Linked DNA regions of Drosophila melanogaster. The protein of the gene in region 2 interacts with the protein of the main gene of each other region in a pairwise test. Each region holds a gene or a part of one and is shown on either strand. Other genes may lie near its edges. The genes, in order: Rab4 and mop.

Region 1 (3,987 bases), on a different chromosome or scaffold from region 2:
GCCACCACTAAGTCTCCTTACTGCACGAGGGAAAGGTGGGTTTTGCAATACATTATTGTGAGCTTAGAGATTTACTAATGCAACCTTTTATCGTAGTCGATTCCGCTGCATTGTGCCGTATCCACCAAACAGTGACATTGAACTAGAGCTACATTTGGGCGACATTATCTACGTCCAGCGGAAGCAGAAGAACGGCTGGTATAAGGGCACCCATGCCCGTACCCACAAAACCGGGCTGTTCCCCGCCTCCTTTGTTGAACCGGATTGTTAGGAAAGTTATGGTTCAAACTAGAATTTATTAAGCGAAATTCCAAATTACTTGTCTAAAAGGATTCAATCGTCGGTCTATTCGGGCTTCCAAATACGCAATCTCATATTTCTCTTTTCAAAAAAGAAACCGTTTTGTACTCTTCCAATCGAATGGGCAGCTCGCCGTTGTACTTTTTTATACAATGCTTGATCAAAATAGGCTAGCCATGTAAGACTTAGGGAACAGTTACTTAAGCCTTAGCGATTAGTTAGCTAGAGAAATAATCTAACCGATCCTTGTGCCCTCTACAAAGTTATTTGTAATATACGATACTCAGTAATACCCTTTGGTCGTTTTAACTTATTTTATTCACCAAGCAAAACATCGAGGCTAACTGTGGATTCAACTACGGCAGGCAAGGTTACTCGCTTTTTTCGAACTTGGATCCGTAGATGGGCACGTACTGTAGGACCAGCTTCCAGTCGGTGTAGTAAAGCACGGCCAGGCCAGCAGCTCCTCCGAATCCGGCTCCAGATCGGATGCTACGAATTAAAAGAAACTAGTTTAGTTCTCTGGATGGGGTTATGCAATGTGTGCTTTGGTAGCAGTAAAAGAGCGGGAACACTAATGAATTCATGATGCAGAATCAAGCACGACAGCATATACTTACAAGGAACTCGCTATCTCAGCGTGCTTCTTGCCAAAAGGTATGCGGAAAGCCATTTTTGTTGATTTAATAACTTTTCACACGCACCAAAATGTTCGCAATGAACGCAATAGTTTCAAATGTCCTAAATAATACCACTACAGTGTGACCGTAGGATAGCGTAAAACTTTAAAAGCAAGGTGTGACAACACTGTGCGGCCTACGTGAGAACAACAACTAGTCATCAACAAAAACTAATATTCGCAAAGAACTCATCAAAAATTACGAAATTAAAATGAAAATATCCGTTTTTGGGGAGCTTAACACATTCGAGCTGTTTGTCCTGTCCACTGTGATACCGGCGGTGTTCGTTTTCCTTTGGACTCTGATATCTGGCGATATGAAGGTACGGCAGATAGTGCTTATCAGAATGGTTAATTTTAAGTAATTTTCCCTTTCTGCCCTGAGTTTACAGAACTTCAAGGGCAGCAAATTGGCATACTCAGTTTATACGGCCAAGGATCCCATTAATTGCTATCAAGACTACGAACCAGAGAAGCAAAAGGATACGTAGACTATGTGCCGGGTTGGATTACCAGGGCCCACCATCTTTTATACTTTTATTGCATATATGTATGTATGCAAATTGTGTGATGAATAGAAGAGGGTTTTTGAAAAAAGACAATAAACCTTTGTGGGCTGCATTTCATATTTTGTTTTTTCTTTGTAGCTTTCGGCAATTTTCATATATTTGGAAATATTTTAAAAGTAAACAAAAACTTAATTGCAATATGAATCATATTTTGAACCACCTGGTCACACCCACCCCTTGTTGGTATTTTCGCGTTTGTAGCGAACCTTCTCACTGAAGTGAGTCCAGTCAAAGATTTTAAGGTAATTTTTGGCTTTCTAATTGTTTAAACGCTTACTTATCGACGGATATTGCGGGTTTTGATCGTGTCCTGCGCACTTCCTGGTGCCCATACGCACCAGCAATCCGATAGTCCTGAAGTCTGGCCGAAAAACCAAAACAAACAAAGAAGACAACTACGCAGAAGACGAACAAAAACAATGTCGGAAACATACGGTTTGTCAGCACACATTTAATTAATTAATGCATTTTACTAATTAATATCGGTGCTCGGCGCTCACCTAGATTACCTGTTCAAGTTCCTGATAATTGGCAGTGCTGGCAGCGGTAAGAGTTGTCTGTTGCATCACTTCATCGAGAGCAAGTGTAAGTTTGGTGGTAGCCTGAAAATGGTACACGCCTAATGCATTTTATACATTTTGATGTACCATCAAAGTCAAAGACGACAGTTCGCACACCATCGGAGTGGAGTTCGGCTCGCGGATTGTGAACGTGGGCGGCAAGTCGGTAAAGCTACAGATATGGGACACAGCCGGTCAGGAGAGATTCCGATCGGTGACAAGATCGTACTATCGCGGAGCAGCCGGAGCTCTCCTGGTCTACGATGCCACTTCGCGGGACTCTTTCAATGCTTTGACAAACTGGCTGAATGATGCTCGCACTCTGGCCAGCCCAAATATTGTGATCCTTTTGGTGGGCAATAAAAAGGACTTGGAGGAGGCGCGTGATGTGACCTTTCTGGAAGCAAGCACCTTTGCCCAAGAGAACGGTCTGTTTTTTAGGATTCTCCATAAATTTCCTATCGTAATTCTACGTCTGTTTGTCGTTGCAGAGCTTATCTTCCTGGAGACGAGCGCCAAGACGGGGGAGAATGTTGAAGAGGCCTTTCTCAAGTGCTCAAAGACCATACTGGCCAAAATTGAGACCGGAGAGCTGGATCCCGAGCGCATCGGCAGCGGTATTCAGTACGGCGGAGCTGCTCTCCGTAACTTACAGACACGACAGCGCAGCATCAATAAGCCGGATTGCACCTGTCGCGTTTAAGTCGCATAAGTTGTGCTGATTTATTTCCATTTAATCTCAAACCGGAATGCGCATTCGGATTACCCCTTAGTTGTATTGTGTACTTGTGTGTGTCCACTTTTTTAGTATGTATTTTGTCTTGCTAGATTAATCATTCCAATTGTAAGCATAATGCTAATCGATTTGTTTTTTAACATAACCAATTACCACTTTGAAAACCTATGATTTCGGGTTAACCCCAAATGTTACTTACTATAATTTGTAATTCGTGAAGCACTAGAGCCCTCGAGCAACAAATGATGTATGGCTATAAGCACATGGATCTGATCTAGAGGATGAACAGAATACACTCGGCATTTTTAATGTAAATAAGTAGCGATACGCCGTTGACGACGTCGCCGATTGTAAATCCCATTGAAGCATGCACGCGGTAAATAAAAACGCCCATTGATAAATTCAATTGTATAAAAATATTTATTTCGACCCAAGGTAACAAATATTGTATTGGGGAAGCTATTAAATTTTATTAATAACAATGAAGCTAAAACATTTTAAATGGCAATAATTGATAAAAAAATAATTAAAAACCGTTTGTATTTGAGGAAATTGGCATAGCATCTTTAGATTGTGTTTCCAAATGGGCTGTTTTTGTTTTGATTTAAAAGGTCTTAACAATTTATGGTGATCAAAAATGATTTTTTGGTTTTAGACATTTATGTCTATTAAAGCGATGGAAAAGTATTTTTTAATTCTAAGATATACAGTTAAGTTCATTAGGTGCCCTTTGCTGTCCTCTTCCAAAGGATTACGTCTTGGCTAGAAAGCAAATTCAATGCAGTTTAGCAGAAACTAGACTGGGCTGGAATCATCATATTAGGCGTCGCATTTGCTTAGCTGCTGAAGGGCGTGCTTGGCAGCCGATAGCTTGGCCTGGTCCTTATTGCTCCCAAATCCGTACACCTTGATCGTCTTTTCCATGCAGGTAAATTGACAACTAACCATTACAGTTTCCCCTTCGACGATGGGCGAGCTAAACACGGGCTTCGCATGCTTGTGCTCAACGAGCTGTCGTATATGATTGATGGGCACTTTGCGCGTGAACTCCTGAAGCTCCGGCTCGAAGAGATTGAAAATTACCTCCCAAGTACGTTGGAGATCTCGGCAGTCCAGGTATACGGCTGCAATAAGGGCCTCCAG
Region 2 (8,156 bases):
CTTAATTTTGCAGTTGAACCACGCCATGCGGATACGACTGCTAAATAAATTCACGGTAAGTTAATTAGGTACCTGTCTTGTGATCATTTGCTTAAGTAATCAATTGAAGTGCATTAAGGCTGTCGCTCACATTTTCATAAATTTGTTTTATTTAGAATTGACGGCTGGCAATGAATTTGAATATGAAATGAATTATACTAACGAATGTGTTTTTATTGCAGCTCTATGACCAGCCTCACTTCGATGCCACAGGACTTCTTCATTCCAGCCGCTTATATGGACCCCGTGTTTCAATCCTTGTGGATGAATGGTAAGTTAAGCAGTAGGATTAATCCTCCAAGGAAGCGTTTAACTAATCGTGCCGTTCTTTTGGTTTTCAGTGGAGCCACACCGCTAGAGGACGATGTCGACAACTTTGAGCATGTCCTCAAGATGACCACGCACAACGACGCTCTATATGCCTATTACTATACTGACAGCAACACGAACAAGGTGAAAGTAACCGAGATCTTTGACTTTGACGAAATAACGGAGCACGACAAGCTGGCCACCGATCTGCAGATCTACGAAGGCTCTGTCGAAGATCACCCCAATCCCCACCAGCACAGCCACAATACGGTGGTCAGCGAATGGAATGGCGTCGAATCAGGTTGGTATTTGTGAAACGACCGCACTTTCAATTCAAAAATCACATCATTACGTAGAGAAATCGTATCATTTGAATCAACACCAAACATTTTTTGCAGTACAAGTAATGCCCACGACTCCTGAACTACACGACGTAGCCTTTTAAAGCACTTACAAACTAAACGACTATAAATGCACCTCCATAACCCTTCACCCACTCAAGCATTAAGTCCAAATTTTAAATCGTTGGCGCAGGTAAATGATCTAAATTTGCAATCACTCCCCCGTATATTCCCATAACAAAATTTCATTTTATATAGTTCGCTCTTATGAATGGTTAAACTAAACTCTGTCTTACTTTCTCATGCTCCACAGACTTCTTCATCGATGCGCATACACCAAATGTGGAGGATAGTAAAACATCAGCGCCACAATTCTCCCGCCTGGACCTGGAGACCGAGTCGGATGCTAGTGTGCTAAGTGATCCCGAGGTTGATCAGACTTTTAGCTCCACGGCCTCCACGCACAGCAGCGACATGTATATAGAAATTGAGGGGTAATTAGTAATGGGGAGGGGGCAATCCTCTTAGGAACTGTATCGAAACATCTCCAAAGCGGCTCGTAGCAAAGCGAAAAGCCTAGTAGCGTTTCCATTAGTCTAAATTAGTCTTAGTACGACCAACGTATGTACCTAACTTAACTTAGCCGTATGCTGCCATTGTATCATCGTCAGTTTGTAAGCGGCAATTAGCTAATAATTGCATTCTTGTTATTAGTCACCCTCACACGACTTGTATTACATCCAAATCCCCATCTGTGTTTAGCCTAAGTTGATAATGTATAAACAATAAAAAAAATAAACAACAAATATTTACAGAATGTCTGGTTGCGCATTTACTATTAATAAAATAACTAATTGTGATTAATGGGGAATTCAAGGAAGGAAAAAAAAAAACAAACAAAAATATGGTGCGCTTCGTCACTATGTAAACTGTCGTTCACAGTGATATATATGCAGTGCACTTCTTTCATCCATCTATAACAATTTATATAAATTGTTAGACATTCGCATTCGTAATATCAAATTTTTTAAATTTCATTTTCTTTATAAAATTTAATCGGCATAAAAATTTAATACTTCTGGAAAAGAATACCGTTCTAAAAAGTATCGATGCCAATGAATGGAATACCCCCTACGCACCTGCCATTTTTAGTGCATATTTCCAGAAAGCTGAAACGGCCACACTGCAACATTTTTCATAAAACAATCTTGTTTTGATATTGGTAAATTAATTGCCAGCAATTAGTTTAAATTGTGTGTAAAATAAAAGGCCAACTGGGCAGGCAACAAGTAAACTAATCACCATGGAGGCGGTGCCCCGTTTGCATATGCTCTGGTTCGCCCTAAAATCGAGTCCCGAGGGAACCTCCTTTGCGGCTTTGAAAAAGGTAAAAGGAAGAGAGTGCGAAAGGGGGAGTGAAATAATTAAGAGAGCCAGCAAAACAAAGAGGAGACAACTTGGTGAAACGGAATTATCGGTCAAATTGGGAAAATGCGTTGCTTATTGGATTCATATTGGAATCGAAATTCCCATTCTCACCATGCCATTTGCTCCATTGCATTTTCCGTTTTCACCAACTTTTAAGCCCCCTTTGTCTGGCGGCTGAGTCATCGTCGTCATCTGATTAAATTGGCAAACAAATAAAAAGTTATAAGCAAACACTGGCAGTTTGTTGGGTTATTGCACTTAATTCCCCATGAAAACCCATTTACCCTAAAATATATTCTTGTTTTCCTACACTAAACTCCATAACAAAAATCCAACTTAAAACATTTCACGTTTTACTTCCAGTACATCGCGGAATTTTATCATGAAGATCCAGAGGCTTACTCCAAAGAGGTCCATGCCCTGGAGACTTTGCGCAACCAGGCCATGCACACCACGAAAGATGGAGCGCCGGTGATGAAACGCTACTATTGCCAGCTACACGCCCTTCAGAATCGATTTCCACAGCTGGCGGATCGCGGAATCTTCACCTTTAAATGGAAGGATCTCTATCACAGTGCCGTTCACGAGGTCACTGATCTGCGATTCGAACGGGCTGCGGTGCTGTTCAACATTGCCGCATTGCACACTCAGTCCGGAGCGTCGGTGACCCGTGGCGATGTGGATGGAATGAAGATGGCCTGCACTCACTTCCAGGCGGCTGCTTGGGCCTATGGAGAGCTGAGAGAACGCTATGCCAATGTCAATGGCGGAGGGGATTTTATGACCCCAGAGCTGCTGGTCTTTCAGCAACAGGTGTGCTTTGCCCAAGCTCAGGAATGCATACTCGAGAAGTCGCTAATCGACAATAGGAAACCGCATATTGTGGCCAAAGTGACGGCGCAGATTGTGGTTTACTATGGAGCTGCACTGGCTGCTCTTCTTACGGGAGGAGATGATGGTCCAGTGGCTCAAGTCATCGATAGTTCTGTGTACAAACTGTGGAAGAAGTACGTTCGCTTCAAGATCAACTATCTCACCTGCATATTGTACCTATACCAGGGCCAACATTCCGAGGAGAAGCGTCAGATGGGCGAAAGGGTGACGCTCTACCAGGTAACTATAACATTTTGAGCTCTATTTAAAGGAAAGGTTTAAATGCTTACTTTATATTCCTTTCAGGCTTCCTGGGACAAACTGGAGGAGGCGCGCAAAGAGTCCAAGGGCCTTCCTGACCAGCGGGAAATCAATGAATCCCTCAGCTTCACCGCTGATGTGGTGGAAGCAAAGCGCAAAAATGCCAAAAACGAAAATGAGTTCATTTACCATGAGGCGGTGCCCGAATTGTCCACCATTGCAGCCGTCCAAGGTGCCAATTTGGTCAATGGGATTGGCTTTCAAGTAAGCGACGAGGAGCACGCGGGTCCAGACATCTTTGCCAGATTAGTGCCCATGAAGGCCCACGAAGCCAGCTCGTTGTACAGCGAAGAGAAAGCCAAACTTTTGCGTAAGTACGGAGCTCTGCTGGAGGAGAAGGACACCCAACTGGAGTCGTACATGAGCTCCCTCACCCTGGATAATCTGAATATCAACGAGGAGCAAGCCAATAAGTTGCCCCAGGGCATCGTGGATCGCTGTGCCGCCTTAAATGCAAACAAGACTGCTATCAGCGATCTTGTAGAGGCCATGTCTCAGCTGGCTGAGATTACAGCCGATGTGGAGACCAACCTGGGCGAGATTTCAAGCATGCTGGAGGCAGAAGCCAAAGCGGAGCGAGAGTTCCAATCCGCCACCGGCGTTCAACGAACACCAAATGCCCACATTACCGAGTTATCGCGAGAGTTCCAGAAATACAGTGAAGCCCATGCACGGGCAGGGGAATCCAATAATACCTTGCGGAAAGCCATGAGCCTGCACGTAAATAATCTAAAGATCCTGGCCAGACCATTGCCTGAGATTCAGCAACTGATGCCCAAACTAAGTTCGGAACTGAATACCACCGAAATTTTCAGGGATGTGAAGCTCATCCTCAACAAAGTCAACGAAATGAAGGCGCAACGTGCTCAGTTTCATGCGGATTTGAGGATAGCCATCAATGAGGATGATATCACTGGCAAAGTAATTGCCCACGGTGGACAGGAGGGCCTCCAAGCTTTATTTGCAACCGAGCTGGGCAAGCACGACAAGATCACCGAACTTCTCGATCAGAATATGGTGGCTCAAGGTAATATTCTGCAAGCTCTAACTGAAAACTATGCCAAGGCGGCACCAGTTTTGAAAACGCTCCAGGACGTGAAGCAGAAACGGGAGCACTTTTACAGCTCGCTAGCTGCATCCTATGATGTTTATGAGGATCTGCTGGCCAAATCCGCCAAGGGCTTGGAATTCTACAAGAAACTAGCCGGAAATGTACAGAAGCTACTTACCAGATTTCGATCCGCCAGGGATGTACAGTCCGAAGAGCGCCAGCAAAGGATGCAGAGCGTTAAGGCCGCAACAACTCCAGTTGTCAGCAAACCAATAGCGGAAACTACGCCTGTGCCAGCGGTGAGCAGCACCCCCAAATTAAGGGATTACCTCAAGGCCAAGGCAGCGATGGCGGATGCCTCGAATCCCGCCTATGTGCCTACAGTGCGTCCAGTGCCGGTGGGCTCGGAGAATCCCACGCAGGCCGCTTGTTCCTATGCCACTGCACCACCGAATGAGCCACCTCCACCCTATAGTCTCACACAGCAGCAGTATTTTGATCCCAGTGCCGCCGGCTACACGAATCCCATGTATCAGCAGCAACAGCAGCACATTGCTCCACCGGCCTACAAGGCCCAAGCATCGCCAAACTCTCAGACCCTCCACGGAGCGCTCGGTCAGATGAATTTGCAGGGCCAGTCGCAGGATAACAACCAAGCAGGCATGGCTTATAATTACGGGTATCCAAGTGGGTCTGTTCCTCCTCTAGCTTACGCTCCACCCGGAACAGTGCCCGCAAGCTCAGCTTCCCAGGGATTGAATATCCAGCAGCCTCTGTATGTGGCTACATCGGGCAATCCAGTTTCGGTTTCAAATCCCAGTGAGCTGCCGTCCACCCTGCAGGCACCCTTCGTGGTCAATCCAATGTCCAATCCCTACCAAACAGCGGCAGGTTATTCAGGGCAGGCTTACCAACAGGTCAATGCTCAAGCTCAACAGGTGACTTATCCTACAGCACCATCGGGCTCTTCAACAGGACAATCAGCTCAACAGCCCTTGGGTTATGCGCCAAGTCAGGGGCCACAGCAGCAAGCTGGTGGATATCCACAATCTCAGACACCGCAGCAACAGGTGGGAGCTTATCAACAGCAGCCATTATCAGGCTATGCCCAACAGCTGACGCCTCAGCAACAAACTGGATATTCACAGTCGCAAGCACCGCAGCTCCAAGCGCCCAGCTATGCCCAAAATCAGCAATCGACTGGACAAGCACAGCAGCAACAGACTGGATATCCACAGACACCTCAACAACATCTAGCTGGGTATGCTCAGTCCCAGCAACAGGCTACAGGATATCCACAATCGCAGACATCGCAGCAGCAGACCACCGGGTATTCCCAGTCCCAGACGCCTCAACAACCACTGGCATATCAGCAGCAACCATCTGGTTATCCACAACAACAACAACAGCAGTCACTTGCTCCGCAACAGCCATCACTTTATCCATCGCAGGCTGTCCAGGCGTCGCCACAACCTATTCCTGGCCAGCAGGCAACACCTCCGAATGCTGGGCAACCTTTGCCATATCCACAGCAGTACACTGATCCCAATGCAGCTCCAGCTCCAGCTCCTGGGGTTTCTTCTGTACCAAGTCCTGTTCCAGTACCGACTCCAGCCCCCACTTCATCTCAAGCTCAGGTTCCCACATCTCCGCATCCTTCGGCCACCTACACCAGCTATTCCAACCATCCTGGCTATAGCTTTAATCCGCAGACAGGTAAATACGAGTACAGCAGTGGCTATCAGCAGGATACCAGTTCGTTGAAGGGATCCCAAGCCTCGCAAAGCTACCAGTTTAGCCAGAGTGGCAAGCAGCAGTCGGTGGGAACAACGGACTCAGAGATTGCCAGTCGCAGCAATACCGCCACTGGATTCGATGTAAGTGCTATGCCCATATATATTAAAGGTATTGAGACCTAAAATAACGAAATTTTTATCCAACAGTCACCTATCGTGTCCCACACCAAGGTTAATATGGCAGCTAAGGACTCCACTTCTGCGATAGAGGGCAATGAGTCATCCAACTACTACTCCACTCCCTATGGATACCTTGGCAGTGTAAATCCGCAGCAACAACCCACTCCTGCGCCTCCTTCGAATTCAACTGCTTCAATTTATATGCAAAGTGGAGCGAGCAGCACTGCTGAAACCCAGACGACTTCCAGCGGAGTTCCTTACGCCTCCTCCGCGGCTTTGACCAAAGTAGAACCAAAGCCGGAGGCATTGCCTCCCAAGGTTACCAGCAATGTGGATCTGCTTAGCGACCTGGACATTGACTGCTCCGTTGCTGTTCCGCCGCCAATGTTGCCGCAGCCTGTTTTGCAGCCCCAGGTGGTGGCCACTCCTACGCCGCCGGCAAGTCAGGTATCGGTGCCTGTTAAGGTAGAAAGTGTGGCAGAGCACGCTGCTCCCGCAACAGCGGAAATTCCTGTAGCAGCCACCGAGGGAACTGCTCAAACTCCAGTTACCATTCCTTCGGGTCCGAAGTGTGCCAGTTTAGATAACCTATCCAACTGTTCCGACCTAAGTTCCCTGGAGAACTTTGACTGGGACTCGGTATCCGTTACACATTCCGTCAGTGAGAAACAGACCAAGGCATCTGCCACAGCCAATGGCCATTCGAGCAGTTTTGCATTCCAATCCGAAACTTTTACGGACGAAAAAACGACAAAATATTTCCAAAAGGAGGTGGAGAGCTATGAAAAATTACTAGAGAATTTGCACGTGAAAATGTTGAATGGAAAAACACAACTGGGCGCCAAATGGCAAGAGCTGCAGCAAAAGTTGGATAAAGAAGCCGCTGCCAACAAGCGATCCACCACCATTGCGAAATTGTTCCCGGAGAAAAATCGATCCCTTGATTGTCTGCCATACGATCATGCCAGAGTAAAGCTGGACAAGCAGACCGATGACTACATCAATGCCGCCTACATGAAGGTGAGTTATTCCAGAAAATGTTTTTATAGCACACAATCTTTAAACGCCGTTGTTATTCATTTAGAACTTGAGTGCCGGCTGTCCCAACTTTATTGTCGCTCAGACTCCCCAGCCAAATACCATCAACGATTTCTGGTCCATGATCTGGTCGGAGAAGTCGCGCACTGTGGTTTGCCTGCACACCCCAAATGAAGTGAGTAACTTCAGCAAAACTATGAGATTATTGAATCTAAATATTTGATATGTTCTATAGCTTTTCGATCCCTACTGGCCGCAAGCTTTGGACCAGCCGACTCATTATGATGATTACACCGTGACCTGCTTAAAAGTGCAGCAACTTAGCCACTGCTCCGAGTATCAACTTAAATTGTCCATGCATGGAGCGGACGCAGTGCTGGATTTATCTCTACTGCAGCTGAAACAGTGGACCAAGGGGTAACATGTCCAGATTTCGTCCGATGGAAAGAAATAAATAATTGCTATTTTACAGGGCTCCAGCTCAACTTCTGGGTGTGGCGGAAAATGCTTTGGAGACCCATCGACAACGCTGCAAGGCAGCCAATGCTCCGCAATCGCCGCTCATTATGAACTGCTTAACTGGTTCAGAGCGTTCCGAACTGGTGGCCATTGGAGTATGTGCTATTATAGCGACCCAAAACAAGCAGCCAATTTTGTTAAGTAAGCGTAAAATTTTATCACTGTAAATTAACACTAATCGCGTGCCCCTATTTAGATACGATTGATGTTTGGTCTCGCATTTGTGCGCAGCGTCAAAATTCGCTTAGGGATTCCGCCATCCTGGAGCAGTCCATGCAAATTGTGCTCTGCAATGCTCACAATGTGCTAAACAAACGTAAG

What was found.
Region 1: the proteins of mop (region 2) and Rab4 interact in a two-hybrid assay, tested with the Drosophila melanogaster proteins (one study listed by BioGRID).

What each region holds. Positions count from the first base shown.
Region 1 is NT_033778.4:17,571,732-17,575,718, forward strand, and holds Rab4 (Rab4), read left to right. Parts: upstream 1-1,730; 5' UTR 1,731-1,967; coding exon 1,968-1,983; intron 1,984-2,052; coding exon 2,053-2,133; intron 2,134-2,203; coding exon 2,204-2,536; intron 2,537-2,599; coding exon 2,600-2,811; 3' UTR 2,812-3,248; downstream 3,249-3,987. Other genes in the region: POSH (plenty of SH3s), read left to right, coding at 1-35, 97-271; UQCR-6.4 (Ubiquinol-cytochrome c reductase 6.4 kDa subunit), read right to left, coding at 672-792, 921-973; CG42239 (uncharacterized protein), read left to right, coding at 1,192-1,302, 1,372-1,470; Dcr-2 (Dicer-2), read right to left, coding at 3,664-3,987.
Region 2 is NT_037436.4:14,769,832-14,777,987, reverse strand, and holds the start of mop (myopic), read left to right. Parts: upstream 1-1,858; 5' UTR 1,859-1,992; coding exon 1,993-2,076; intron 2,077-2,480; coding exon 2,481-3,230; intron 3,231-3,296; coding exon 3,297-6,239; intron 6,240-6,305; coding exon 6,306-7,298; intron 7,299-7,362; coding exon 7,363-7,491; intron 7,492-7,551; coding exon 7,552-7,733; intron 7,734-7,788; coding exon 7,789-7,976; intron 7,977-8,031; coding exon 8,032-8,151; intron 8,152-8,156. Other genes in the region: bmm (brummer), read left to right, coding at 1-55, 222-310, 381-649, 1,003-1,187.